Tamandua tetradactyla: one gene and its partners. The protein of the gene in region 2 interacts with the protein of the main gene of each other region in a pairwise test. Links are inferred from orthologs where the notes say so. Each region holds a gene or a part of one and is shown on either strand. Other genes may lie near its edges. The genes, in order: CERCAM, GOPC, RNF183 and VTN.

Region 1 (7,294 bases), on a different chromosome or scaffold from region 2:
CCAGGAAGGTGGAGTGGACCATGGGTACACGGAAACAGCCCCGGCGCTGGCGGTTCTTAGTGGGGAAGTACTCTGATGTGCGGCGGTAGTAGCCCTAGGGAAGGGAGATTGCTCTGGGATGTAATGGCCACTCCCTCCATCCACAGCACAGCGCCCCCCTGCTTTGGCCTACAGACCCTGAGACCTTCAGGCTCTCAGCTCTCCATGTCCCTCCTCCCAAGATTACAAACCTCCTGAGGCCTCATCCCTAGCCTCACCTGGGGGGTGATCCCGCACCAAAAGTTGGAGTAGTAGGTCTGGGAATCCAGCATTGGGGCCACCACAGGCAGCCCCTGCTCCACCAGAAGCCGCAGTGTCTGGTTGTTTGTCAGAATGTTGTCTGTGTCTGCAAACTGGGGGGTTGGATGGAGGAAAGGGGTGTCACAGCCTTCCGAGACAGACAGCCTAACCACAGACAGCCTCAGTCTAGGCTGCAGCCTCCCAAAGAATTGGATAGGATCCCAAATAGGATCCCTTCGGGTGGCAGAGACCCAGAGTGGCTCCCAGGATCCAATGTAAGTTCGTTTGGAGAGGTCTAACCAACAAACTTGGCACTGGTCCAGGGACTGGATCTAAACTGTTGATCTAAGAACATCACCTGAGATCTGTCTTAGTGAGTGGATCCAAAGACCTACTGTGCGCTCTAGCCAGAAATCCAGGCTCAGTTTATACTATGGACTCTGGCCTAAGAATCTAGGCTCAATAAATACTATGAGATCTATCTCAGGGATCCAGGCTTAGTACCCAGCCTGAGCTTAGGCTAGGGGATCCAAGCTAAATATCTGTTTTGAGCTCTGGCCCAGTATGCCAAATGAAGGATCTACTCTACAGGAGTGGTTCAGACATGTCCACATTTCTGTCCAGACAGATACTACCACCTGTGAGAAGCCCAATCCTAGGCCAGGCTTCCTTACCAGGATATAGTCAGCTCCCCAGTTCCTGGCAAAGGTCAGGGCTTCCTGCTTCAACTCCATCAGAAACTGGTGCCGTTCTTTGGTCCAGTGCTTGGGACCCTCTTCATCTGGAAAGAGCCTGAGGGGGATAAAAAAATAAATTCCCATTAAGGGGGTGCCTCTCCCTCTCTTCAGGGCAGTGGGCAGAGTCCTGAGCTGGAGGCTGTAGCCCTTTTCCTCTCTGGAATTGCAGCTGTTTGCCCAGGTTCCCCAGAACCTCTGCCCTCAGATCACCACCTGGGCTCCCCCTCAGGTCTCCAGACCACAGTTGCATAGTCATTTCCCACAGCTGCCAGCCACTCCTGCAGCATCTCTGTGGTGTTGTCGGCATTGTGGTCCGTGGCACACCTGGAGACAAAGGAGGAAGAAGGGTGAAGGGGCACAGTCACAGAGGGTCCAAACCCAGCCCCTGAGGCAGCATTGCCTCTGAGAGCACCAACACCTGTGAGGTTGGCCTCTCCTGGGAGCAGTGGGGTGGGGTGGAGAATGAGGATAGATGTGCTGCAGCGAAGGCCTGGAAGCAGGACAGCCAGGGCCCAATCACAGTTCTGTGACCTCAGGCAAATCCCATCCCTTCCCTCAGCTTCAGTTTCTTCCCCTGTAGTTTCTCATGCATCCTGGGCTGAAATAACAGAAGGCGAATGCATTATGAAAGAGGAAAGGCACCTCAACTTTCCCTGGTTACCTTCCTCCCTTGCTGTGTGACCACAGGTCAGCCTATGTCTCTGAGTCAGGACAGAAGAACTGCTGTTTTCTTTCACCGGCAAGTTGTAATAAAGAACAAACCACGCTCTGAGCATCCTGAAGAATTGCTGATGGGCCCAAGCTCCACTGCTACAGAGTATAGCTTCTCCTCTCCCAGGGAAGGGGCTGCCATGATGGAGGCAGGGGAGCAGGGTGACTTAGCCAAGAGCCCCAGTTTTATATGATACTGCCTCTTTAAACCAATTCCCCAGAAGTGAAGACTACTACGTGTCAAACTTATAGGGGTGGGAACTAACTAACTCCCAAACTGTGGTAATTGTGGGCAGCCTCCCCAGGCCACAGCTCCACCCCCCCAGCCCAACGTTGGTGTGTTGGGAGGGGGTAGTTTGTAATTTCTTTCACTTTATCTCCAACTTCAGCCCAGAACTCCTCCCTGTTCTGGCTTCCAGAGACTGGAGGGGTTGAGACTCTGCATCCAGTGTCCTATGGACACGCCTTGGAGGACAGACTCCAGGGAGAGGAAGCCCCTAGCAGCAGCGCTGCCCCTGGCAGACAGGGCCCAGACCCACTACCCTGAGAAGTTAACACCAGCTCAGCAGGAGGGAGGGCCCCTTGTAGGGCAGCACAGAGCCCAGGGCTGACAGCACCCCCATATGCTTCCTGAGAAGCCCCAGTCCTGTGGATCCCTGCCATGATGGTCCCCAGAGGACTCCAACAGTTCTGGTCTGCTCCAATCCAAGTCAAGCCAACCACAGGTCCCACGGGGGTTGCGTTTGGGCTCCTGGAGCTGATGCAAGAGGGCCTGGGCCCAACTTACACCTAAAGGAAAACCCAAGGGCAGGAGAAAACAGCTGGAATGAGAGTTGGGTGTCCCCAGGGTGGACTTATGACTTCATAGGTTTGTCCCTGCAAGGGTAAGGGGTCTTGTCTCAGGGCTTGGGCTGTAGGGGGGGGATCTGCCTGCCAAGGCAGGGGCCGGCTGGTGGTGTCTGGGCAAAGAGGGTCTAGGGCGGGGCCATCTGGGAGGCCGGAAGGGTAGCCGTCCTGTGGGTGCCAATGCCAGGGTCTCTCTCACCAGAGGGCCAGCCTGGCCCGGGGGTAGTCCAGCCGCTCCAGCGCGCCCAGGTAGTGAGGCAGTGAATGCTCGGCATTGCGAGCCAGGATGGCAAGAACTACGGCAGGCAACGGCGGCTCCCTGACGCCAGCAACCTCGAGCCCCGGCCCCAGCAGGAGCAGCAGCTGCAGCAGCTGGGCCGCAGGAACAGCGCGCATGGCGGGCGCTTAGGCGGCGGCTGCGGGCCCCCGGGGCTCTCGGCCCTGCGGAGGGGAGTGGGCGGGGCGACCCGGAGGGGCGGGGCCCGGGGCAGGGCGGGGCCCAGAGAGGCCGGAGGGGAACATAGACCCCAAGAGTGGTCTTTCATTTCCTCAAGCCCTATGCAAGTATTCTCGAGTTTCCTCCCCTCGGCCCTGGGCACCTGAGGACCAGGGCTCCGAGACCCGCCCCAAACACGACCCTGAAGCAGCCCCCTCCCCGAAGGACCCCGGAGGGGGAGAAAGGGAGGGGGACTGGATTGACTATCAGAGCCACACTTGCGCCTGAAAACACCTGACTCCTCAAATTCCCGAGCTTCTGACCCCGGAATCCAGCCTCACTGAGCGTCTGACCCCTCTGAACACGAATTTCCTAACCATCCGCCTTTCAGACGTTAGCAGCAGACCCACGCGTGGCAGATCCCACCCAGACGCGGCCTTTCCCGGGTTCCCCCGCTCCTGGCCTCTCCACTGCCCGGAGGAGCCCTCTAGCGGGCCCAGACGGGAACTTCTCAGATCCGAGAGGCGACTTGTGGACCAGAGAGAAAGACAGTGGGGGGGGGGGGGGCAGGGAGAGGGTGCCCCTTGACCTGGGCCCGCCATCCAAGGCGTCCAAGCCAAGCTTTCCCCACGCGTCACCGTCCTTACCTCGGTTGCCAGCACCTCTGTTCCTCTGGCCCTTTAAGAGAGCAAAGCCCACTGTTAGACTGAGTGTAGATCTAGGGACAACCACAGAGCCTCTCACTGCCACCCAGCTCCCCTCCTAACCAAGGGATACAGCCTTACCTGGAGCAGAGATGGGAAGGGGTCTCCAGCCTGTCTTGGACAAAAGCAGAAAAATGAGGGCCCCTAGAGGCACCAGAGTGGGTTCTAGACTGGAATCTGCTACCTATCTCAGACTGGTCACTTTCCCCGAGCCTCAGGACCCTCATCGGTAAAATCCTCTAATCCATCCACCTGGTAGGGTTTGCAAGGATTCCTTGAGAGAAAGAAATCACATGAAGTATCTCTCTGCATGAATCTGACACACAGGAAGAGCTCTTGGGATTGGACCACAAGGACTTGAGAAGAAGAGAGGCCCAGGGAGGTGTGGGGGACATCTCCCTGCCCCTCACCACCCACCTTCCCACCCTACCTGGAAGGTCTCCTTTCCTACGGGTAGGGTTAAAGAGGGGAGCTAGGCCTGGGCACACTATTTCCATTGGGAGGGGAAAAGGGGTGCCCAGGAAACAATGAACTTACCTAGTGATGGTGCAGCACAGTAGGGCATTGAACCACAGTGTCCTGACTCTGGGTGGGCTCCAAAGTGTTCACCAGGTCCTGAGTGAAAGCTTCCAGGTGAGGCATTTTCTGGCTAATGGCCCTGCAATGAAAAGGGCCCCAGGCCTATGGACGCATCCTGGGGAAATTCAAGAGTTACCTCTCTCTTGCATGGGTCACCTCTCTGGTGGGATAGCAAAGATACTCCCAGTCCCAGAACCAGGATTTCCTTTCTAAAGCTAAGCAGTGTCCCCCACGTCAACCACTGAAGTCAAGCCAGAGTTCCCTGTGTCTTTGAGCTTCTGCCTATCTTATCAGTAACGTAAGCTTCCAGATTCTTCCCTGGCCTCAAAGTCTTCCTTCTCCCAAAGCATCAGCTCCTCCCATTTTAATCTCCCTGCCTGCCCCCACCTAGCCCACTCAGTGGTTGAGCCTATCACTGACTCCCTTTCCTAGGGTTTTCTCACAGATGCCTGGAAAAACCCAATCCTGTAACCATTTTGCCTTGGGGCTGATTGGGGCTACTGCAACTCATGACCTCCACCCTCAACTGGATTCTCACCAAGCCCAACAGTTCTGTTTTCCTATGTTCTATATTCTCTGTTCCCTATCCCCTGTCCTCAATGGCATTTCAAATGCTACCAGTCTTCTGACACTCCACTCCACTTCCTCCCCACCCTTTGGTAGCAAGGGTTGTCCTGCTACTTCTTGGGAAATATGTAAGTCCTCACCTGGGGACTATCATTTCCAGCTTTCACACCTTCTACCTTCTGCCCCAAAACCAGCCTCTGCTCTTACTAACTGTGACAATGGAAAAGATACTTCTTCCTCATGATGAAACCATCCCTGGACTTAAAATACAATCCCCTTACCCCTCTTGTATAGTCAACCTCCCTCTCTTCTGATCCTTCTGCCTTCCAAAGGACTTAAATCTTCCCAAACCCCAAATGCACTCCTATCTCTCTCTTTCCCATCAAAGGCAAACTTCTTGAAGCGGGAGATCTGTGCTTTGCTCTGTCTCACTTCCTTACCTCCATTCACTGCTTAACAAACACCAAGGCTGTTCCAGCCAAACTGCTCCTGCCAAGACCAGCATCCACCCTGACACTCCCCCAATGGATATTTCTTCTTCCTCATCCAGAAGATCTTGGCTTCTCTGCAGCAGCTGACTGTGTGGGTCACTCCCTCTTTCTGGAAACCTGATCTTTCTGGAAATATCCCTTTCTGGAAACCTTACTGTATCTCAATTGCACACCTGGACCCCAATACCACTTGTCCAAGACAGAGCTCTCATCTTTTCCCCAAACCTAGGAAATGGTACCTCTGCCCTCAAGCTGGGGACTTATGTGTCACTGATGACAAGTTCCTTTTTCTTACCCCATATATCCACTCCATCAGTGCATCCCAACAAGGCCTCCTCCTCCACACCTCCAATACATGGCCACCTCTTTCCTTTCCTGCTGCCACTTGCCTCCTAGGCCTTCTTCCTGGAAACCATGTTGCACTCAGAAGTCTTTTCTATTAATGCCTGACTTAATCCTCTCTGGGAGCTGCCCATTGCCCTCAGCATAGAGCTCAAACCCCTCACAGGGCAGGGAGGCCCTGCGTGGCCTGCCTGTGCTTCTCCAACTCTCCACTCTTTTCCTCCCCGCAACCTTCTCCTCCAACTAAACTGGCCTATTTACTCTGCCACAATGCTCCATGCTTGTCCTTCATGTTTTGGAACCTTTGTGCATCTTTTTTTTTTTCTTTCTGATCCTTCTGCCTGGATTGTTTTTCACTTCTGGCCAACTCTGGCCAACTCCCCTAGGCCTTTCAGTCTCAGCTTAAACTTCCTCTGGAAAGTCTTCCCTAATGTCAAGTCTTGGGAACATATCCCTACATAGTATCCTATAGGATCCCATTCATTTGACAAATATGTGTTAAACACTTGCTATGTATGGAGGGACAGAAGACAGTGTCTCTGCTCCTAGGGTGCTTACATTCTAGTGAGAGGAGATGGATAGGAAACAAGCAAACACATAAAAGAACAAGATCATTTCAAAGAAAAGTAAATGCTATGACAAATTAAAACAAGTTACTAAGAACAGAGAGTAACTGGGAGTGGGAGACGACATTCAGACAGAGGGGTCAGAGAAGATCATTGGGAGCATAAGTAGGAACCAGCTGAGGGAAGATCTGGGGGAAGAGTGTTCCAGATGGAGGAGATGGGTGGGGTAAAGCTCCTGAGGTGGGAACAAGCAAGGAAGCTAGTGTTGCTGGAGATAACTGAGCAAGGGAAGTATGGTAAGAGGTGAGGTTCAATGGGTTGGCAGGGTCAGACACACAGGGCCTTGAAGTCATGGCAGAATTTTGAATTTTCTTTTTAAGTACACTAGGACATTGGAGGGAGTAGGCAGAGGCATGATATGATCTGACTTAAAAAGATTGCTCTGGCTGTAGTGCAGACGGTGGACCAAGGGTGCAAGGGTGGCAGTCGGAGACCCAAATACAGGGAGAGACGATGTGGACAGAGTTGAGATATATACTGAAAGCAGAGCCGATAGGCCTTGTGAGACTAGTTATAAGACATGGAGAGAGGAATCAAAGATGGCTCCTAGGTTTTGCAACTGGGTTGGATGGTGGTGTTATTAACTGAATGGGGACAAGGTGGAATATGAAAATTGGGTTCTGTTTTGGACATTATTTTAAGTTGCATTTTAGACTTCAAGATGGAGAGATGACATTATATCCCTGTCTGGTTGAGTCTCTGTCTCCCTAGCGAGACTCTGGGTTCCAAGGCAGGGACCTGTCTGCCTCTATATGCCTAGCCCCTGGGCAGTACAAGCCAAATACAGAGTCAATATAAATATTGACCAGCCAGACATCGATATAAATATGATGGAACCATTAAGGTGGGCCAATCAAGCTTCTGCACTCCTGCTTACACTCATTTTTTTCTATCAAAAAATGAACATATGCTACAAAAGTAATACTGGGCCAAATCCACAGAAATGCTAAAGCAGTAATTCTCAAAGTGTGGTCCC
Region 2 (7,771 bases):
TGTGAGTAATCAGAAATGGCACCACCTCAAAATATCCTAAATTCTCTGCCTTCTCCTACCCTTTTCCCCAAGCATAACTTACGGCAAGAAGCAGAGGCAAGGATGTCATTTTTATATAACTTTGAATCGTAACTTTTTTTTTTGGCAGTAAAACTGTTTAAATATTTATATTAAGCTCAGTTTTTACAGAGACACAATGACAGGGCAGTAGAAGGGGCAATCTGGAAGGATACTCAAGACCAATTTAAATATATTATAAATCACCCACACTGACTGTATCTGTGTTTTGATTATATAAAAATATTATATTGCAGTAATATGGTTTAAGGAATTAATTTATAAAATTACTGAACTCTGGCACACATTTATTTTATCAAACCATAAGTGGCCTCAAATACTGTCTTAATGTCCTCATACTTAAATCAACAGAACTAAATTCAATTGTCTACTAGAAATAAAATAGGGCAAGAAGCTATGGGAATCTTTTCTAAGTATCAAGACCTCAGAAGATTGATAACACTATATGCAGCAACCCCTGAAATTCTGCAGATGGTTACAGCAGCAGATCTACTTTGAAAGGCACTGTGACCATGAAACTCTCTCCTCAGAAATACCTGGATTGTACTATGAAAGGGGAAAATTGCTAAATTTGGAAAGATCAACACAACAGACAGGTAAGTCAACTGTAACCAGAAAATAAACCAAAAAAAAAGAACAAATCAAGTTAAATCTCTTCTCTTCCTATTTTCTAAGACCTATACCCCAAGGGTTTCAAGCACGTTGAAAAAACAGGCTCATCTGTGATATGCTAACATTTCTTTTTTTTGAGAAATAATACTACCCACTTAGCCAGGACAAGGAGTCAGCATATGCAATTATAAATTCTGAAAGAAAAAAAGAGCATGCATTAACGTATTACAGCTTTGAATACTCATTTAAAATGTTTAAAGATAAAAAAAATTAAGCACCACCTCCTACTGACAGAATGAGCCCTTCTCCAAAATTAACTTTAAATCTGGCATCAAAATATCACTGTTAAAAGTTTCCTTAAATCGTTTTTAAAAATTAGACATTGTTTAATTTTTTTATAAGCTGTTTATCTTCAGTAGATCCTTGTAAAAATAATATGAAAAGTTCTAATACAGCAAAAGCTACTCTTGCTATGTTATTTAAGGCTGAAGTACTAGTTCTAAAAACCCTCAAACAGAATTTCACTACTTGAAAAACTATCTTCTAGAAATCACTACTAATCAAAAAATCAAGACATTTCATTTACCTAGAATAAGAAGTGATTACTTTCACATGCATTCCAATCTTCCCAAAAAAGGATGCAAGAAATTAACAGTCATTCAGCAAAGAGCCAGAAAATCATGAATATGCAAATCAACACTAAGCAAAGGTTAATTATGCCAGTTTTAAAAATGACTGAGAGAAAGAGAATGCTGACCACTAAGCAAAGAGAAGATGTATATATGATATTCATATTGCTTTGGATCTAATGGGCACTCTCAACTATTACAACTGATAGCAATGATGATTTCTTGGAAAGCTAATGTTTAAAAAGTTTTGCACATCACTGATTATCCCATTATTATGTAATTAAAAATGAAAGACCAATTCTCTCATTTAAATTGCTTAATTAGAAAATGCTCTTTATATAAAGTCAACCTGTCATGATTTCTAATTATTGTAATAATGCCTGAAAATTTTCTGCATCTGGTAGGCTTTTTTTTTTTGTAACCACCACCGTTCCACCCATATTCACTCTCTAGTTTAGAGAGTTCACCGAATGATCATTGTTCACTCACTCTCAAAAACAAATGCAGACTTTGGGAAATACAGTAAAATTCAAACGTATAAACCTCACTGTTAGAAGTCATCTGAATGACCGCTGGGAGCTCAGGAGATATCTGCCTGCAATTTAAGGACCAACTGTGGATGTAAACCGAGAAAGGCAATGATACCATCGTATTTATGCCACTAAACTTTCCTAAGAGCTTTGATCAAATTCTCCCTAAATAGTCCATGCATGCAGGAACTAGTATGTCCGTGTGCGACCATTGATGCTGATCTGGAATAGTTAAAATAAAAGTAATTAGGGCTCTATTTGGGTGGTGGATATATAAACCTGGGCTCATCAATGGGAAAATAGAGAAGCAAACCTCAAATGTCAAAAGCTGTTCTAACAGTCTTTGGGCTTAAGTCTTAGGTTGTTAATATAAAACGTACAAGGGTGGCTGGTGTAATTAGTTCCCGTTTCCTGCTCATTAAGGTACAAGATAAGATAGGTGACCGACACGTAGGTTTACACCCCTCATTTTCCCCTACCTTACCGCCCTCCTTTCCTCCACACACCGACACATCGAAGCCCAGTTGTCCCAGTGGGCAGTTTTCTGGGGTCCTTTCACTGGTGCGTCTAAATGAGATCTGACGCCACCGGGGCAGCCTGGGGTGAAGGCCGCCCCCGCCAGCGCCCGCAGCTCACCTCCAGCTTGTGGTTGATTTGGGACACAGTCTGGGCTTTGTGGCAGAGCTGCGCAAAGCAAGAGCTCAGGCTGGTCATCTTCTGTCGCCCCTCATAAGTGATGTCCGCCTGGTCCGGATCGATCTCGCCCAGGAGCAGATCCACATCGACGAAGGCCTTGTCGAACTCCTTCTCCAACACCTCGAGCCATCGGAACATGGATACCCCGCCGGGGGAGACCCCCACGGCGCAGGAGGCGCCCCCCGGGCCCCCACCGGCACCCGCCGGGCACGGGCCGCCCGTCGACATGGCGCCGTCGAGGGCCTCCCCCGCCTGCTGCTGACTCCTGCGCGAGGAGAACTGCTGGGACTGCGGAGACCCCCGCGCACGCACGCTCTGTGGGGTCACTCCTTCCCCTCGCGGGGCCAAAGCCGGCAATGCAGCCGCCGAGGGGCAAGACCTAGGAGGCTGAGGCGGCGACCGTGGCACACGGAAGACACGACCCGTCCCACCTCCCTGCCCGCCGCCGCTGCGCATGCGTAGCCAAGAGCCCGGCGGCCGGGAAGGACGAGGTGGGCGGGGCTAGGAGGCGACGTTGGCCTATGAAAGGCCTCTGCCCGGCCTGTCAGCGGCCATCTTGAGGACTGGCAAACTCCAGCTTGGGTCCGCGAGTAGTAGGCGCGCGGTGTGTGCTTCCAAGCTGGAAAGGCCCGAGGAAGAGAAGCGTATCCACGTCGTAGGAAGGAACGGCCCCACCGGTTTGATTTCACAGTGGACAAAAGCCGTTCTAAAATCGTCCGGGAAAGTGGCGTCCGGGGGCGGGAAAAGGAGAGCGAGGAATGGCGGTGTGAGCATGCGCAATGGCCACGTTTCCCCTTTTCCTCTCCAGTTCCTGCTTAGGTTTGGTGGGTGGGGTGGACGGACACATTGGCGCGTTTTGGTTAAATAGGCCCTAAATACTGTGTGGGCACTGCCTAATGCCGGGTTGGCGGAGAGTGGCTGAGTAGGTGTTGCTGAATAAAGAGACCTTTGTATCTCCTGTGTAAGAGACAGGCAGGCCTGAGTTCAAATGTTACACCCTGCCACATCCTAGTTGCACCACCGTGGTTGTATTTTTTAACCTCAAAGTCTCTGTTTCCAAAATTTATTTCACTCAGTAGTAAGGTAAAACGCTTAGCACCAGTGCTTGACGCATGGCGTTAGCTTTTATTTTTACACCACAGGTCACACATTTCTAAAGCAACTATTTTAAAAAGTGTACGTTGTTGAAGGAATCACGTTTTATCATTTAAAAAACTGGTAATATTCTTGCACAGAGCATTTCAGTAAAACGAAGCAATTGACGTGCATGACCATAAGGAATGGCTTTTTTCCACTTACCGTTTTAACTCAACCTGGTGATTTCTTTTTGAAACCATATTTTGGGTTACAAAATGTGTGATTTGTGTTATATATATAAAATATATATATATGAAAATCAATCGCAGTACTTTTACTGTCATATATTAAATTGAATGGGAACAAAGCAATCAAAGGCATTAGAGTACTATATTTAGTGTTACTTCTTGTTCTTAAGGAATATTCATATATTCATAAATATATTGAATGCCAAACCCTGTGGAGGCATTGGGAACACATATGACCCTCACTCGAGCAGAGGTCATAGACTTGTGAGGCTACTAATCTTCACAGTTACAACTTTAATATGATTTTTGCAGTACTTTTGCAACTGTTTAGCAACTGCTTTCTCATCCCCTTTCATTTCAAGAGTCGCCCTGCCCTGGACAGAGAAAGAGAAACCAGTCTGATTTGAACAGACTTGTAGGAACTGTCTCTACTGCATTATGTAGGAGAATATTTTTCTGGCTAACTACAGACTTGTCCCTGATCTGTTGACGGGACAGATAGTTCCAATCAATCATCATGCAAAACCCACACTGTGTGACTCGCACCAAAACCAAGACGGAGCAAAAAAAAATCACAGCTGTAGTTTGCTCTCTGGGTATACTACAGGCCAGGCTGATAAGTATCTAGCTACATCATTGCCTTATCTTGACCTACTCTGGAATTGTATATAAGCTCAATACTTGTGGGATTTATTTTCCAGATATAATGAAGTCGTCATACTACTAATTAGATTGGCAGAAACCTCCATGAACTGTCTCATGAATCATGCTTATGTGATTTTTTTGAAATTGTGAAATTCTAATATAACTTAAATGTGCAGACTTGTTTTAAGGAACTTATAACTACAGAGTTTTGCCACAAAGTATTACTAGGAATAAACAAAGTGGGAACTGAGGAAACTGGGGGAAGAGAGTCCTGTGGCTCTAGCAAACTTAGCTAAGCAGAACTAACCTGGAAATCCTTGCCCTGAGCTTAAATGCACAACTTCATACAGGTTTTCATAGGCAATGAATAATATAAAACTAAAATTTGCATCTTACTCCCAAAATTATTTTCCATTATTTCAGTATTTTCATCTGCAGTACTCACAAAGACATCACTACAACATGTCCTGGCCAACTTCTCTACAGATAATGTAGTTAGCAATGGATTTTCAGGAATTTGAAGTAAATAATTTCAAAATGGACAAAGGGCATATACATGGAGTCACAATACTAATGATAGTAGCTATCAGTTATTGAGTTCTCATTATGTGGTAGGCATTTGTACTATTTGTTTACATGTTTGATCATTTTGTCACTTTTCTAGCTGAGTTACAGTGAGTCTAAGACAAACAGTAATTGAACTGAGATCTCAGTCTAGGTGCCTTTTTCTCCAGAGCCTTTGCCATCAACTGTGGGGAATAGGGGGATTAAGAAAATCCATTTCTTTGTCCCCAGAATAACAAAATGACAAATCAGTCCAAAAGGAAAATAATCTCTTCCCAATTATAAGCCAATTACAAATCTATTAACATCTAAGAAGAAATTACAAAAATACTGCCAACATTACTTATGGACCTACACAAAATACATTTCATTTCTTTTAAGAATAAATCATTCAACTTTTTGCTGTACTATGTGAGTATGGCCAGACAGCATCAAAAGTGTACATGTGTCCAGTGCCCTAATTGTTGGTGATTACCCCTTTTTCAGGATTTCAGAACCTGGTCCTATTTCATTTACAATGTTTAAAGTTCCAATAAGTCACACCCCTGTCCCTCAGGATATTTTCATTCCTTATTGTCCTTTCTCATTACCACGTCTACGTGTTTGCCGTCTTGGTAGTATGTGACTACTTGTTATCTGCCCTTTATGTAAACTTGTTATCTGCCCACATTGGGATTTTATAATTCTGCATATTGCAGCCAAACTATAACGTGAAAAAGTAGGTTTTAACGTTCAAGTGCTGCCATCTGTTGTCAGTGTGCTCTAGCTGCATCATTGCCTTATCTTGACCTACTCTGGAATCGTATATAAGCTCAATACTTGTGGGATTTATTTTCCAAATATAATGAAGTCATCATACTACTAATTAGATTGGCAGAAACCTCCACGAACTGTCTCATGTATAATGCTTATGTGATTTTTTTGAAATTATGAAATTCTAATATAACTTAAATGTACAGACTTGTTTTAAGGAACTTATAACTCCAGAGTTTTGCCACAAAGTATTACTAGGAATAAACAGGGTGGGAACTAAGGAAACTGGGGGAAGAAAGAAAATGTTAAAAATTCATTTGGTAGATACAGGTCATTAGCTGTGGTTCAAACATTTATAGAGTACCATGAAATGCAAAGGCACAGGAATGAATAAAGAAACATATAAGATCCACCCAGGAGTGGAGACGGAGGGAAACTGCCATTTATTGAACTCTAATGTGTCCAGACCCTGTACTAAGCTTCACACATTTCATTTAATTTCCAGTAACCAGGAGAAAGGAAAATTAATCCAAGAGTCAAGAATTAATATTCAATGATGGCCTATCATATAGGAAAATTTTTATGAGGCAATTTACATTCATTATCTCCTTAACAACACTTTGGGAAATGTAGCATTATTTACATTTTACAAATGGGGCAACTAGTCCTCGGAGAAGTTATAGTTGCAGGTAAGCAGCCAAGTCCACATCAGGCTGGTTATATAGCTAACATAGCCACTTCCTGGGAGTGTGAATTTAAGGATATTGCCTAACTTCTAGCATCTGTTTCCTTATCTATAAAACAAGGAATGTAATGGTATGTCTCTTACAGGGTTGATGTGAGGATTAAATGATTTAAGGAATACAAAGCACCACCCTACCGAGGACCTGGCAAATAGCAAGTGAAAGAATCGTAAATACATATATTACATAACCAATTTTATGTGGTCTTTACGTGTCTAAACATCCCAAGTCTGAGCCTCTCTCCTTTGTGGGAGTATCTTTTAAGGTCTCTGTTCTAGTTTGCTAGCTGCCAGAATGCAATATACCAGAAACGGAGTGGCTTTTAAAAGGGGAATTTATTAAGTTGCAAGTTTACAGTTCTAAGGCCATGAAGATGTCCCAATTAAGCAAGTCTATAAAATGTCCAAATTAGGACATCAGGGAAAGATACCTTGTTTCAAGAAGGCAGGTGACGTTAGGGTTTCTCTCTCACCTGGAAGGGCACATGGTGACATCTGCTAACTTTCTCTCCAGGTTTCTTGTTTCATGAAGCTCCCCCAGGGCTATATTACTTCTTCATCTCCAAAGTTCTCTGGCTGCCTGGGCTCTGTGGTTCTCATGGCTCTCTCCAAAATGTTTCCTCTTTTAAAGGATTCCAGTAAACTATTGAAAACCCACCTGGAATAAATGGAGTCACATCTCCCTCTAATCAAAGGCTAATACCCACAATTGGGCGCGTCACATGTCCATGGAGATAATCTCATCAAATTTCCAGTCTACAGTGCTGAATAGGGATTGAAAGAAACAGCTGCCTCCTCAAAATGATCAGGATTAAAAAATGGCTTTTCTAGGGCACAGAATCCTTTCAAACCAGCACAGTCTCCATTTTTCCTTTTCTGGGCCTCTGTGTGTCTCTGCAGTTCTTTCTGTGTCCCCCTGTTTATCTCTGCCCTCTTTTCTCCCATTGGCTCTCTTCCTGATATAACCGACTAAAAAGACATGAAATATATATGTATCTGTTGCAATTATCAAATAATGTTATATGTTCTTTGTTATTAGTTATAAAATGATGAAAATGAAATGTACTATCTTTTACCCATATTATTTCCTTGATTTTTCCCTGTATTATCCCCTTGATTTTATTTTCTCCTGTTTTTAAGGGATTCCTGATAAATAATGTTTCTGTACTCCTGTGATGGACAGTACATAATAAAGAG
Region 3 (7,679 bases), on a different chromosome or scaffold from region 2:
TGGCTGGGGATGGAGACAGGCACAGGTGCCGAGGCAGCGGCCGTGTCCGGCAAGGGGCCAGCTTGGTTCCCAGGCTCGGGGCCTAGGTCCAGTGTGTAGACCCTGGGCTGGCGCAGGAAGTAGCGGCTCTTGGGCTGGTCCTTGAGGCAGAGCTGACGGCCTTCCAGGATGACGTGGTGGGGCTCCAGGCGGAGCAAGGTTAGCATGGCCGTGTCCGTGGGCAGGTCGGTGACAGGCTGCCCCGAGGCCAGCACGGTGGGCTGCCGACAGAGCGGGCACAGCAGCCGGCGCCGGGCGGGGGCCACCAGGCTGAGGTGGGCCAGGCATTCCACGCAGAAGGAGTGGCAGCAGTCCAGCACTTTGGGGGTGTGGAATGTGTTATTGAAGGGGTTCCAGCAGACAGGGCACTCCGCCTCAGGCTCCCGGCCATGCTGTTCGGCCATCGTCAGACCCAACACCAAGGGACCTCGCTGGCACAAAGCGAAAAGGAGCAAAGAAACACCATTAAGCATTGTCCCATAGGCCAAGCATTCTGTGGGTATTAGAAGGTGTTATCGCCCACAATTTACAGACAAGAAAATTTCCGTTCAAAATTATGAAGTGCTTATTTTCCAGATCGCTCCATTCTTAAACCGCGGAGTTGTCTGGTGTTCCCTGCAGCCGCCTCCCCTTAAGAAGGCCTGCACACACACCCCCACCTAAATCACCTTCACTGGGGAAAATTGCACCCTAGGCTTTGAAGAAGCCCTGTGACCTTGGGCATGTTCTCTGCCCTCGGCTGCTCTGAATCCGCGGAGAGGGTGGGCAAGACACAGCCAGAGCCTTTGCTAAAGGCCATCCGTTTCCTTCCCTGCTATCTCAAGTCCCTGACTCGTGCAGAGGTGGACTTTGTGATTTCCCTGTCTGTCTCTCCTCTGGGAACATACGCCAGGCCCTCTTTCCCTTCTCCTCTTGGACTAGAGGGCCAACCCTGCAGAGCCGACTCTCCCAGTCCAGGTGTGGGGACATGGCCCTGGCCTGGCAAGGGGGCTGATGGTAACGATCTCCCCGTTGACCTGGAAGCCGTGGGGAGGGTGTCCTGCCCAGGTCTCCAGATCAGCCCCTCCACAGCCTCTTTGCAGTGCTCCGCCTCCCCTGCCGCCTCCCTCCCCTTGTCCTGGGAAATCCTCAGGGTACCCACCTGGGCACGAGAGCAAGCAGGCAGACTGCCCTGAAGGGCCAGGGGTTCCAGTTTCTCCCTCTCCAGGATCCGCAAAGCTTTGGGAGACTACCTTCTCGCCGCCAAGCCCCAGGGCCCGTCTCTATGGCAGCACACGCAGCACCTGGAGCTGCCTGCCAGGTGGCCCGGCCTCAGCCTCTTGAGTGCACCTAACTGGAGCAAAGGCCAGAGAGCTGCCTGGGTGGTGAGGTAGGGAGTTCCCCTGGGGGGTGGCAACCAATGAACCTGGAAGCCAAGGATCTACAAGATTGTGGGCGGCCCCTTCCAGACCTGGAATCCCCGGCAGGGAAGGTTAGGGGTAAGCTCCTTTTACTAAACCATAGAGAGGGTAAGTGAGCCTTCTGGACTTCCCCATTCCCCTGTGTCCTGGGTCCCTCATTTCTTTTCTAAAATAGCCGGACACTCCTCCTCCCTCTCCAACTCAAAGAGGCTGCCGGCCCTGCACTTTAATTGCTGTGAAATTCACCTACCTCACAGCCTGGAAGCTCTGAATACCAGATTCAGCCACAACCGGAATGGGCAAGCCTTACTGCCTTCTGTTTTCTTCTTAGGACACAGCCAGCCAGCCTGGCAGGTGCTGACACGCTGAGACCTGAGAGTTCCCATGTTGGCGGCCATCCCACCCAATCTTGAGGGGTGAAAGGGAGTAGTCAGGCAGGGGGAGCACCCCAGCCCAGCTCCCCCATATCAACCACAGACAACTGGCTTTTATCTGTTTCTGATATTGGACATCTGAATAATTTGAAATGTTAAGCTGCTGGGGGTAAAAAGAACAAAAGTTTAAAAACCACTTCTCCAGTACTCACCACTCACTTTGCAGATGGGAGACAAGAAGTGACTCACCCAAGGTCACCCAGCTAGTTAATGGTGACACTGGGACCAATGTCTTCAGAGCCCCAGTCCACCACCACTGGGCGGCTCTCATAAAGGCAGAACTCAGCAACATCCATTCAGTCCGCCTGCTGGACGTGTGTTGTTAGCAAGATAGTGTGCATTTGCTTTTATCTGGAGATTCCTCAGGGCATAAGTCCCTCGGGGTAGGAATCCAGGAGCTGTGCCAGGGAAGATTCTGCATCAGTGAATCTCCCTTGTGCCCCTGATGTGACATCATTGCCCTGCCCAAGTCAACACCTGAAGCAAAATCTGCTTATACTTCCTCATCCATTTCTTCTAGTTCTTTCCAACACCTCTGTCACTGCTCCATATAGGAGAGAAGGAGATGAAGATATTCAAGGGGATTGGAACAGCCCTGCCCACAGCTGTTTGCCAGGGTCCTTACAATGCCTGATCTGTGCACTGTTCACCCACTTGTGAGACAGTTATTGGAGGCTCACTACATCCCAAGCACTGTGCTAAGCTCTGGCCAGCTAAATAATGGAGGACACAAGGTTCATGGCCTTTGACTTCATGGCATTTTGTCTAGTGAGGGAAAGAGACATTCTTTCCTCTGAATGAACAGATAAATAATTGAGTAATTTTGATGAATACTATAAAGGGGAAGAAAAGAGGGCTTGGAAAGTGTCGGCTGCCTTCGATGAGACCACTGGAGAAAGTTTCTTCAAAGAAGTGATATGACGCAGAGACTAAAGGATGAGAGGAATCCAGCCAAGCAGAGTGGAGGGAAAAGCATTCCAGACCAAGGGAACAGCATGTGCCAGTGAATTAAGGTGAGAATGAACTCTGCTAATTTGAGGAAGTGAGAAACAGCCAGTGTAAGGGAGGTGGTACAGTGGGTGAAGATGGGGTGGGAGAGAGGCTCAAGAGTAGCCAAGAAGAACACAGGAACTGTAAGCTCTGAACACATTTGGGTGTGGAGAAAAACTTTTAAGTGGGGGGGGGGGGGGGCCTGATGCTGTTTGCATTTTTAAAACAGCATTCCAGTTGCAGAACAGAGGACAGACTGAAAGGGGCAAGAGTGGGAATGAAAGACCAGTTTGGGGCTTAGCAGTCACCCAGGCATGGGTTGGGGATGCTTGGCCCCGGTCAGGTGGCAGCAGAGAAGATAAAACAGGAGGGGGTAAGAGATATCTTTGGAGGTGAAGTCAAAAATACCTCCCAAGAGGCAGTGGGCAGTGTAGACTCTGGAACTAGACTGTCCAGGTTCATGGCAGCAGGTACACTGCCTATTAGGGCTCCATTTGAATCCTTAACCTCTCTGTGCCTCGATTTCCTCATCTGAAAAGGAAGCTAAATGTAGTGGGGTGGGGGATAAAGCTCTTAGAGCCTAGCACCTATAAAGACCATATATGAAAAAAATTGGTATTACTACTGCAAATGGATTTGAGGGAAAGGCCATGAAAAAGTTTTATGCATCAAGCTTTGAGGAGTCCTTGAATTCCAGAGTATGTCTGAAGCATACCTTCAATATTTAGCAAAATGTTTAACATGTCCATAACCTTTGACCCAGAAACTTCCGCACTGGAAACCTGTCCATCCCACGAAAATAATCAAAGACCCTTCAAAGATGTGGTTAAAGATATCCACTCAGCACTGTTCAAATGGTAAAGTATGGAGAAATACCTAATTATCCAGTGGTTTATTGATTAAGTTCTGTTCCATCCATACAAAGAGATACTCTGCAGCTTTTAAAGCGATGTGATAAAATATCTATCAATATGGAAATATGTTTATGATTTGTCTTTAAATGAAAAAAAGAATAGACAATAAAACCATATTACAGACAGTCGCTAAGAGATGAAATTAAGAGAAGCTGAAAGAGAGAAACACCCAGAGTAGTTTAGAGAAAAAGCTACAGACGGAGAAGCAGAAGCAATAAAATCTGGCAGAGAAGGACCAGCAGACATCACCCTGTGCCTTGTTATCTGACACAGAGCCCAGGCTCTCTGGTCACCAGTCTTCAGAGAAGCTCAGTGTATGCAGGGAGTTTTACAACTCAGAGTGGAGGAAAAAAATGAATTTTAGAAAATTCTTAGAATTTCAGGTTCTCAAATCATTGGATGTGAAAACCAAATTTTACACTGTAGAAATTGATGAAATATTTCTTGAAGCCCAGATTCAGAACATTACAACCTCACCCCTGTTTATGGAGAAGGTTTCATTGTTAATATACAATGAAATATACAAATTATTATTAATAATAATATAATGTACAGCATAGCAGAGCTAAATTCCGTCAACCAGACTGGAAAATGTGCATCTACGTTTGGGTCACAAACCCATTTGCAGCCAATGAATACGTACCAGTACTTGTACTGCCAGAAGGAGTTTGCAGAAAAGGCAAACATCCTTAAGAGAGCAACCGTAATTGGAAAATTGGATATAATGTGGAAAACAAATCTAGAGGAAAATGGAAGGTTATAGATCAGCCAACTTCAAAGAAGGCAGTGAAAGGACTATGGATTTTGTTCTGGAAATGTGCAATACAAATTCCATCCACTGGTGTGGCATTTCAGGAAGACAGCTTGGAAAGCTTCATCCAAGTTCCTCTCTCTGCCTTGCCTTTACTCTACTGTCTTCAATACAAGAATTGCGAAGTGTTTCCGGCCTATGACTGATAACACATTCTTAAAGAGAACAGATGGACTTGATGACATTTCACAAGTCTGTGTGGTATCTTCAGCCATTAAAGTGAAAAGCTGAAGAAAATTTCCAATGTTATGTCTTCCATTTAGTTTCTTCGAGCTGCTTTCTATATTTTTGTCAGCTTTGTAAAATGATCAGTTTAATGGCAAAGATAAGTATGTATTATTTAAATGTCTTTTCTCTAAAACTGACTTCTTTAAAATATTAAATATTTGTTTTACAGAGGATCCTCTGCTGATTTTATCTTATGAGTTATAGTCTAAATGACATTTGTGTATTTCCTGTACATATTTTCTCATTTCATTCCATTTTAGATGACCATTGAACTTTTTTTAATTTTTTAATTTTTTTTAAACATAGCAACATACAAACACGAACATTCTTACCATATGATCAATCCATTCTTGATAAATAATCAATAACTCACAATATCATCACATAGTTGTATATTCGTCACCATGATCATTTCTTAGAACATTCGCATCAATTCAGAAAAAGAAAAAAGAAAAAAACTCATACATACCATACTCCTTACCCCTCCCTCTCACTGACTGCTACTATTTCCATCTACCCAATATATTTTAGCCTTTGTTTACCCTATTTTTTAAATTCCCTTTATCACCGCCTTTCATTGATCACTAGCATTTCAATCTACTAAATTTATTTTAACATTTGCTCCCCCTATTATTTATTCAATTTTAATCCATATGTTTTACTTATCTGTCCATACTGTAGATAAAAGGAGCATCAGACACAAGGTTGATGACGATTGAACTTTGTTCTCCAAAAGCTCTGCACTTAAGGCCATTTTTATCTAGCAAGTGTCTAGAACAGAAGTCAGCAAACTTTTTCCATAAAAGCCTAGATAACAAATAATTTAGGCTTTGTGGCCCATAGCAAATGTCAAAACTATTCAACTCAGCCATTGTAGTATGAAAACAGGCATAGACAATTGTCAATAAAGAAACTGGCTGTGTTTAAAAAAACAGGCCAGCTGGTTTTTGGTTTGCTGAAATCAATCTAGAAGATAGTTGTTTCTTAGAAATTTAGAATTTTCATAATAATTTCACTTTATTTGGAAATATCTCAGTTGTTCCCAGGTTTTCCTTAGCTCCTCAGTCAACAGAAAAAAATTGAGATAGTACTCCTGTAAATTGATTTTTGCTAACACAGTGCCCGATGAGCTTTTCTAATCATTTTCAAAATGACTGTGAAAATCATTGTATTTTGACAGCCATGATATGTAAGTGTGCTTACATACATTAAAGTTAGAAACAAAGAAATGTCTAACTTTAAGTTTCAGAACTGGTTTTGTTTCTTAGGTTGTTTATTACTCAGTTAATTTTTAATTAAATAGACTAATAATTTTCTAATTCTAAGCCAAAAGGTCCTGTTGATTTTTTTTTTTTTTTGGTTTTTGGTTTGCTATTGAAAAATAAGCCACTCCTTTTCATAAGGCACATTTAAAGGATTCTCAGCTTCTGGTATTTGATCTTGAACTCTAAATCATATACTAACATTATAGTAAAACTATCTCTGTGTGTTATCAAATTTGTTTACTTACATCATGAACAAAACAGTGAGGAAGCTAAGGCTGTAAACAGCTTTGGAACATGAATATAATTAGATGTTTGAATATTTGTCAGGAAAATAAAAGCTTATGCTATCAAATAGAAGCTATCCTACTTTGGTAAGCTGAAATTCAAGAATGTATACATAGTTTCTTAAATAAAAAAGTACATTAAATCAAATACCAAACTGGCTTTACTTAAATGGCCAATTATTTATTGCCATGACAAACTGGTCTAAGATGAAAGTTCTGTCCAGAATTGGATTAATAACTAATGAAATGTCTGTGTAAATTGCTAATCGATAATAAATTGATAATAAATATTTTTAAAATAATATTACAATCCAATCTAATTTTCAAGAATATGTGTATAGTGGGAAAAATGCCAATAATGGTTATCTCTGGGGGGTACGACCACAAGATTAAAAAAAAAACTATCTTATCTGAAAATTCTCTTACTCCAGTGAGCTTGTATTACTTAAAGACCCTTCCAGCCTCTCAAAGCAGACATACTTTCTCTGTGCCTCCTGTTCTTCCAGCCCCAAGAGGAGCAAAGGGATGTGAGGAAACTGCAAGGAGTAGGGGGACTCCTGTCTAATTAGGGAGCTCTGGGGAAGTTACTTGGCCTCCCTGAAGCCCAAGTTTTCCTCTTTGCCAGGGATAAAGTGGCTGGTTCTGCCAATGCTTAGCACTGTGGTGAGATTCTGGAGGGGAGAGAAGCGGGTCATCCGCAAAGAGCCGTTCAAGAGAAGGGGTGATCCCAACCGCTCCAGCACCCGGGCCCTCCCGGCCGCGGTCCACTCCAGCACCCCCCGTTGTTTTCGGTTCAGGTGCCAGGCACAGTCCAGGCTCTCCAGGGGAGGCTCCTGACACAAATCTACCCGACCCCGACCCCAAGCCAGGACACCCTCAGCTACAGTAAATCCTGAACCCCACACCAAAGTCACTGCCTCAGTCTGTGGCCAAGTCAGTCAGCCAAGTATTAATTATCTAATTATCCATAGTGTCACCCCAGCATGTTCAACCTCAAGACAAAAGAAAATGAAGGATTTGCATTTATATAGCACTTCACAGTTTACAAAAGGGCCCCAGTGCTGGTTTAGGTTTAAGTAGAGATACACCTAGATAGTATAAGTGCCTTTTACAACTTTCTCCCCACTTGCGTAAGGCCATTTGATTCTTTAAAACCACCCTGTGAGGGCAGCAGGGTGGGAGTAGAAAGTGTGCAATCTTTGGAACCAGACTTAATTGCTGTGGGAGCTTGGACAAAGGGCTTAACCTCTGCGCTTTATTTTTATATATTTATTTATTTATTTATTTTTTATTAATTAAAGGAAAAAAGAAATT
Region 4 (6,977 bases), on a different chromosome or scaffold from region 2:
TTAAACTCACGACCAAGGAACCTTTATTGGGGTGGGGGAGAGGGTTGGAAGAGGGCGCTATGGAGGGCCCAGCTGTGTGGGCTCCAGCTCCTACTTGAGACCAGGGGTTGGGCACTTGAGCCAGTACTGGGCGATGGAGCGTGGGTAGGGAGGGTCCACAGTGTCCACTTGCCGTGTGCGGAGGTTCACTCGGTAGTACTTGTCTGGAAGAGAGGGCAGGAAGGGTGAGCGGGACCCAACCTGGTCCTGCCCAGTCCTGCCCCAAGAAAGAAGCCCCAGGTCTCTCCTGGAAGGGGAGTTAAACATCCATGATGCCCGTGAGGGCCTCTGGCCTGGCTTTCTGGGGCCATTGCCCGTGAACTGTGTTCAGTCTATGGAGACCAGGGCAGCAGGGAAGACCCAGGCTAGCCCACCGCAGGGGTGGTAGGGGATCCCACCTTCTGAGAAGAAATAGACGCTCTGGATGGGTTCGCAGGAGGCAGGCACAAGCCAGTCCATCCCAGGGGTGTCAGTACTGTCTCCCAGCCCGCTCTCCTCATTGGAGAACCAGGACAGCCAGAGGGAGCGGGATGGCCTGCTGGGGGTCTGGCTGCGGCTGCGGCTGCGGCCCCGGTGGGAACGGTAGCGCTTGCGGCTGCGGCGCCTAGTCTTGTGCTTCTGGGCCCAGGAGGAGAGGGTGGGCAGGCCCGAGATGTACATGCGGCCAGCCATGGCTGCGTCCACCTGTTTCGGCACACCGGGCCAGTCTTGGCTGATGAGGTGAGGCGGTCTGGTACCACCTGTGGCAGGAAAGGGGCTAGTACGGGGCCCTGGGGACCTGGGCTCTGCCCCCTCCAGCAGGGCCTTTAAAGGCCATGTGGTGTCCAGAGATGTGCCTTGCCCAAGGACACACAGCAAGACAGTGGCAGAGCCCAGCCCCAGGATCTCTGACTCCCTGTTCAATGCTCTTTCCCCTGTGCTCCCTCAGCATTACCCCTGGGTGTCTCTACCCCACCCCCTGAGGCCTCCCCAATCCTCTCTCCACAGGCCCCTCCCACTGCTGTCTGTGCCTTGCTAGGCAAAGTCCAAGGTGTGGGGTCCAGGCTGAGCCAAGCCATCCCCAAAAGGTCAACAAAAGCAAAGTCTGGGCTGAGCAAACAGCTCTTGATCGAAAGTTCCACAATCACAACCCCCGTGGGCCAGCCAGCCCTCCCCCCATCCAGGGGCCCCCAGCCCTCTGGAGGGGGAGGCATGACTGGTTCTCTCTCTGTACCAGAAGATCTGCTCCAGAAGAGAAGCTCGAAGATATTCTCCCAGCTGTCCCGCTGCAGCAGGACAAAGTGCTCAAACACGACCGATGGGGAGCTGTCTTCACAGTCCACCTGGCTGGGCTGCTCGTGGAACTGGTACTCCCAGTACTGTTTCCCTGGGGAGCAGGGCAGCTGGCATCAGCAGGGGTGAGCATAAGCCAGGCTGGAGAGCCCAGACGCTGTTAGAAACTCCCAACCTTGGGGGTGGGCACAGCCTGAGGCCTGTCCCTGGTAAAGTGCAGAGGGAAACCGAGGCAGCTCCCCTCCTTGGCCATTGTCCCACCCAGCCCCCAAGTACCCTTGAAGAAGTAGACCTGCTCCCGGCCATGGTAGCTGTGGGCAGGGAGGGCAAAGGCTGCATCCACGTTGTCTGGGATGCCCTTGAAGCCTTCAGAGATGTTGCGAGGATAGTTGGGGTCCAGGACACCATCGTTAAAGCGCCAGTACTGACTACCCTAAACGATGGGGAAGGGGAAGAGGGTTGAGGAAGCAGCAGCCGGGCAGACACCATCTCCCTGCCCCGCCCCAGAGGCAGCTGTGCCCAATTCCAGGTTTGTTTTCCAGGACCTGGACCCTTGACTGCCCTGTCCGCATGGAGCCCCAACCAGGCACCCACAGGGCCCTAGATCTCACCCTGGTCACAACAACTCTCAGCCCCTCCCTGGAAGCCCTCTACCCTGGCCCACAGCCCCATTACTGGCACCTGGAAGAGGTAGGTCTTCCCCTGACAGTTGATGCGGGTGAAGGCGGCATCAATGGGGCCCTCTATGCCCCAGACGTCTTGAATGAGCTTGGGGTCCCCAGGCCTCACTCCATTTTCATCCAGCTCATAGAAGTACCGCCCTGGGGTGGGGGTGGGGGGCTGTGTGAGGGAGGGGATGCTCCTGGGACAGACCCCCACCCGCGAGACCCATCCCCATAGTCACCTCGGAAAGCAAAGATGGAACCATTCTTGATGTCGGTGAAGGCATCAAAGGGCTTCCCACTGCACAGCTCGTCATCTGCCAGGGGCCCAGAGAGCCCCTGAAGAGAGGCTGTGGATACTGGGGGCCCCCACTGTGTAGGCTGAGGGGACATTCCCTCTGGGTTCTGAATGGGACTCTGCTCAGAATTCCCTTCAGGCTGGGCCTGCAGATCAGGGCTTGTGGAGGAGCTCCCAGAAGCGTTCACTGACTGTGCCTGGATGCTGGCGTTTTTGGTCTCTCCAGTGTAGTCATAATTGCCGTACTCGTCCTCAGGCAGAGTGAATACATCTCCACGGGTTACTGCAGGTGGGGTGGGGGTGGAGGGTCATGAGCCTCCAGCTGCAGAGGGAACCCCAGGCCCACCCGCCATGGTTCTAAACACACCTTGAGGCTTGCACTCAGTGTCGTAGTCGGTACAGCAGCTCTGGTAGTACGAGCAGAGATCGTCGCACTGACATTTCCTCTCAGCGTTGAAGCCCTCAGTGCAGCGGCCCTTGCAGGACTCTGTGGGGAGAGGATGCCAACCAGTATGACTAAGCCTGGACCCCCCCCCGGCCCACCCCATCTTGTTTCAGGTGGCCAGCAGTGCCACCACCATACCCCCTGCACCTTGGTCGGCCAGAACAACCGGAGCCAGCAGGACCAGCATCAGAAGGGGTCCTGGGGGCGCCATGGCAGGACCTCTAGCTGAGGACCTGGCTAGCTGGGCTCTGAGCTCCTTCCCTGAGGTGTGAGCTCTGAGGCTTAAGAAAGAGAGAGAGGGGAGGAAACTGGGAGGGAGGGGAGGAAACTGGGAGGGAGGGACAGAGGGAGGGGACTAGTGAAACGGAGCTGCCCTTCCTGCTGTTCTGTTTGCTCAACCTCCAGCCCAGCCCCCAGTACCCGGACCCCGGAGGCTGCAGCTGCAAAGGGTCACATTCCCAGAACCCTGGTCCTGGAAAACCTGGGAAATGAGATCCTTGCCAAACTCAGGGACATCTCAGGAGGGGGGCAGCACAGTGGGGCTTGAGGAGCAGATAGCCAGCACACTCTGCTCCTTACTGCCTGGGTGACCTTAGGCAAATTGCTTTACCCCTTTGAGCCTTAATTTTCTTTCCAGTAAAATGGGATTAATAATATGTCTCATGGTGCGTTGGGAGATGACGTGAGCTAGAGCAGGCAAAATGCCCAGTGCCTGGAGTAGCCCCAAATTCATTCTCCATAAATGCTTATTGATCCATGATTTGTTTGATCAAATGCAACCCTGGCTGGGTGGTTCACATAAATGATTACTTTGTGTATTTAGGGCGGTGAAGGGGGAGTGGGAGGACAGATGGTAAACACTCTGGGGAATTTTGTACATTTTTATCATGATAGAACAATGTTTCATTTCTGGGTTTCTCTCTTGGATACATTGATTTCCCCAAGCAAGTTTTCACAACACAGGAAACTGGTAGAATATTAACCCTTTGGACAGGATTTGATTCCTGAGACTTCCAGTAATTCCCCAATCCTGGGTAGGCCACTGAAGTCCCCCTGCCACCTGGAGGGGAGTGATCCCTGGAGCTTCCAATTGACTTTTTCTGTTCTGTAATCAGTGACCAGTGTGACGTTGGGTAATCTCTTCTCTAGGCGCCTCAGTCACTTCAGCTTGTACAATGGGAATTCTAAACTCTATAGGGATGTGTGAGTCTTAATTGAGAAATAGGCATAAAAGGGCATGGAGAGCTGTACAGAGTCGTTATGATTGCTTTAGCCACTAGGTGGGAAGGAGACGCATTCCGTGGCGTTGCCCCGCGTTCCAGCGCCATCAGACGGTAAAACGGAAGCAATCCTCTCCCTGTCCACCCTCTCCTCCCACTCCCCACCCGCATCCACAAGGAGAGCCCGGGACGCGGCTAGGGGGAGGAGGCCTGGCCAGGGTGTGGGCGTGGCTGGAGAGAAGGGGCGGTGCCAAACGGGCGGCGAGGGAGGAGCCCAGCGAGACAGACAGGCGAGGTGTCGATTCCTGATCCGCGGCTTCTCGGCTACCCGGCTGCTGCGGAGCGTCTCTCCGGCGAGGGGAGCCAGAGCCGGAGCGGTGCTTTGTTCCTGCCGGCCACAGCCTCCTCGATCCTCTGGCGTCTGGGTCCCTCTGTGGCCACTCTGCTCTTTCCTCGCGCCCGCCCCCTGCATCCGGGCCTGCATCCCCTTCCCCACCCTCTCCGCCCTCGATCTTGACCTCACCCCCCCCCCCCAAAATTTCTGACCAGCGCCCTTGCCTTGTACTCTTCTCTCCACCCCTTTCTCCTGTATTTTCTTCCCCCTTGCCCTCAGGTCCTGGGTAGCCCCGCCGGGCCCCTCCCCTCCAGGCCGGGGATGACCCTCGCAGCCCGGCGTCCATGGTCCTGACGCTTCTCCTCTCGGCTTACAAGCTGTGCCGCTTTTTCACCATGTCTGGTCCACGGCCCGGTGCCGAGCGGCTGGCTGTGCCGGGGCCGGAAGGGGGTGGCGGCGCGGGCCCATGGTGGGCCGCCGGCTCCCGAGGGCCCCGCGAGGTGTCACCCGGGGTGGGCGCCGAAGTGCAGGGCGCCCTGGAGCGCGCGCTGCCGGAGCTGCAGCAGGCGCTGTCGGCGCTGAAGCAGGCCAGCGGCGCGCGGGCCATAGGTGCTGGCCTGGCTGAGGTTTTCCAGTTAGTGGAGGAGGCCTGGCTCCTGCCGGCCGTAGGCCGCGAGGTGGCCCAGGGTCTGTGCGACGCCATCCGCCTGGACGGGGGCCTCGACCTGCTGCTGAGGCTGCTGCAGGCGTCGGAACTCGAGACGCGCGTGCAGGCCGCGCGCTTGCTGGAGCAGATCCTGGTGGCCGAGAACCGGTAAGGGTGCCAGGCTCGGGTAGAGCCCCACGTTGTGTGGGGCTGTGAGGGCGGTTGGACGGCTGGATTTCCCTATGCTCCGCACTGTACCCAGCCTGACTCACCTTACTTCAGCCTTGCACGTTAGGATTAGCGTGTCCATTTTACAAATGAGGAAACTGAGGCTGGAAAAAGTTTAGTGATTTACCCAGCATCGCTCAGTGAGCTAATGGTGCAGCCAGGATTCACACCCAAGACTAAAGAGGTGGAGAATGTGGCCAGGGAAAGGAGGAGTGGAATTGGTCCTTTGAATCAGGATGGGATCCTATTGCCAATGCCCCCCTAAATACCTGGCCCTCCTCACCATGGGCCTGGGTGCCCTTCTGTGGTAACTTCTCTCCCTTTGCCCATCACTCTCCCCTCTGCCCCACACACAGGAGGGGAAGGGAAAACAATTTGGGGGGGCGGGGGAGGACTCTCCCCTCTGTCCTCTCCCTAGGCTGAAATGAGTGCTAACTTAAGGGTTACTTACCCGCTCACAATCTACCTCTTGCTTCCTCTTTCTTCATTCTGGTCCAGACATGACCTCATTCTGCAGCGGCTGATGGGGAACAGAAGATTTTCTGCTGAGTTGAATAGGTTGGGGGAGAAGAATCTGAAGCCCAGAGCTAGGCAGGGGCCAGAGTATGTGTTCTCCTCCCACCCCTTAGTGCCAAAATACCCTAAGTGCCTGCCTCTTGGGATCTCCCCTGAAGTAGGAGGACCCCTGAGGACTCACTTTCCCTCCCCTCTGCCAGGGAAGACTCTCACACTTCAGTCTCACACCAAATTCTGCTCCCTTAGAACAGAGGATTTTGGAAGGCTCACTTTCAGTTTATGCAGCTCCCACAAGTGAGATGAGTTTGGGGTAGGGGAACATTCCTTGCAACTTTCCAAAAAGAAAAATATCCTTATAATTGGTGGAAATGATACAACTGTGAAAAATATTTGAATGGTATTGTTGTCATCTCTCTTGCTGCAGTAATGAAGACATAGCTTTTTTTCTTTCCTTCCCCTCCCCCTTACTGAGTTTTCTCTTTGTTGGTTTCTGTTGGGCATGGGTCTCTGAGACCCTTCTGAGATGGAGGGTGTTGCTGGCCTCATTGCCTGATAGTTGACGATTTTACTCCTTTTATTCCCCCCCCCTTTTGTTTATTATCCTTCTGGAGACAGAATAATAAAACATGTAATATTTTTTAAAAAAATACATAAAGCAATTTTGGTTGGGAGGCCAAGTTAGGATTCTGCAAATTATTCAGCAAATAATTAACCTCCCAACTAACATCAGGTGCCTGATGGAGATGGAACATGAATTTGGAGGGTTAGCAAATGGAATGAGTGTTCACTGAGCGTGGTGGGGTCCAGGCTGGAGGGCATGTCTAATAGATTTGTTATGTGGGGTGGGGCAGCTACAATAGGCTGGAAAATTGGGGAGGTTAGCACCCTAGGAAGAGGAAGGCTGCAAAATGCAAACAGCACTGATATTTTCAAAGTAGGAAATAACAGTTCTCACCTGGTTCAGTATTACTAAGAGGAGTCACTTCAGGACCAAGGACAGAGCATAGTTCATTGGGCGCTGATTGAAATCCTTTCAAAGAAAGGCAGAGTCTGCATCTGACAGGGCAGGGGAGCCAGAAGGGAGAGAAGGGAGCAAAACGCTGAGAATTTATGTTTATGAAACCTTTTCCCTACTCCACAACCACTGTCTCTGCCACCTCTTAAAGAAGATCTTTCCATCATTGCTCTCTGTCCCCCTTTTTTAAACGTTATTTTATTGTGAAATATAACATATTTACAAAAAAAAGCACTAAATTTCAAAGTACATTGTAAGAAGTAGTTACAGAAAAGAACAGATTTCAGACTTTGGTATGTGAT

The links.
Region 1: the proteins of GOPC (region 2) and CERCAM interact in a two-hybrid assay, tested with the Homo sapiens proteins (2 studies listed by BioGRID and IntAct). The two-hybrid records come from large-scale screens. The link is inferred for Tamandua tetradactyla from reciprocal best matches to the Homo sapiens genes GOPC and CERCAM.
Region 3: the proteins of GOPC (region 2) and RNF183 interact in binary tests that used the Homo sapiens proteins (3 or more experiments, as listed by UniProt). The two-hybrid records come from large-scale screens. The link is inferred for Tamandua tetradactyla from reciprocal best matches to the Homo sapiens genes GOPC and RNF183.
Region 4: the proteins of GOPC (region 2) and VTN interact in binary tests that used the Homo sapiens proteins (3 or more experiments, as listed by UniProt). The two-hybrid records come from large-scale screens. The link is inferred for Tamandua tetradactyla from reciprocal best matches to the Homo sapiens genes GOPC and VTN.

The regions. Positions count from the first base shown.
Region 1 is NC_135328.1:51,214,440-51,221,733, reverse strand, and holds the start of CERCAM (inactive glycosyltransferase 25 family member 3), read right to left. Parts: upstream 3,011-7,294; 5' UTR 2,970-3,010; coding exon 2,773-2,969; intron 1,615-2,772; exon of another isoform or gene 1,435-1,614; intron 1,341-1,434; coding exon 1,230-1,340; intron 1,072-1,229; coding exon 954-1,071; intron 393-953; coding exon 258-392; intron 95-257; coding exon 1-94. UniProt on the Homo sapiens protein: Probable cell adhesion protein involved in leukocyte transmigration across the blood-brain barrier. Does not express any beta-galactosyltransferase activity in vitro.
Region 2 is NC_135331.1:178,461,164-178,468,934, forward strand, and holds the start of GOPC (Golgi-associated PDZ and coiled-coil motif-containing protein), read right to left. Parts: upstream 3,018-7,771; 5' UTR 3,002-3,017; coding exon 2,486-3,001; intron 1-2,485.
Region 3 is NC_135328.1:33,859,650-33,867,328, reverse strand, and holds the start of RNF183 (E3 ubiquitin-protein ligase RNF183), read right to left. Parts: upstream 3,010-7,679; 5' UTR 1,181-3,009; intron 471-1,180; 5' UTR 444-470; coding exon 1-443. UniProt on the Homo sapiens protein: Acts as an E3 ubiquitin ligase catalyzing the covalent attachment of ubiquitin moieties onto substrate proteins. Triggers apoptosis in response to prolonged ER stress by mediating the polyubiquitination and subsequent proteasomal degradation of BCL2L1.
Region 4 is NC_135332.1:51,636,142-51,643,118, forward strand, and holds VTN (vitronectin), read right to left. Parts: upstream 3,007-6,977; 5' UTR 2,928-3,006; coding exon 2,864-2,927; intron 2,759-2,863; coding exon 2,639-2,758; intron 2,555-2,638; coding exon 2,216-2,554; intron 2,133-2,215; coding exon 1,993-2,132; intron 1,745-1,992; coding exon 1,588-1,744; intron 1,406-1,587; coding exon 1,253-1,405; intron 780-1,252; coding exon 438-779; intron 204-437; coding exon 91-203; 3' UTR 1-90. Other genes in the region: NAD(+) hydrolase SARM1, read left to right, coding at 4,615-5,084. UniProt on the Homo sapiens protein: Vitronectin is a cell adhesion and spreading factor found in serum and tissues. Vitronectin interact with glycosaminoglycans and proteoglycans. Is recognized by certain members of the integrin family and serves as a cell-to-substrate adhesion molecule.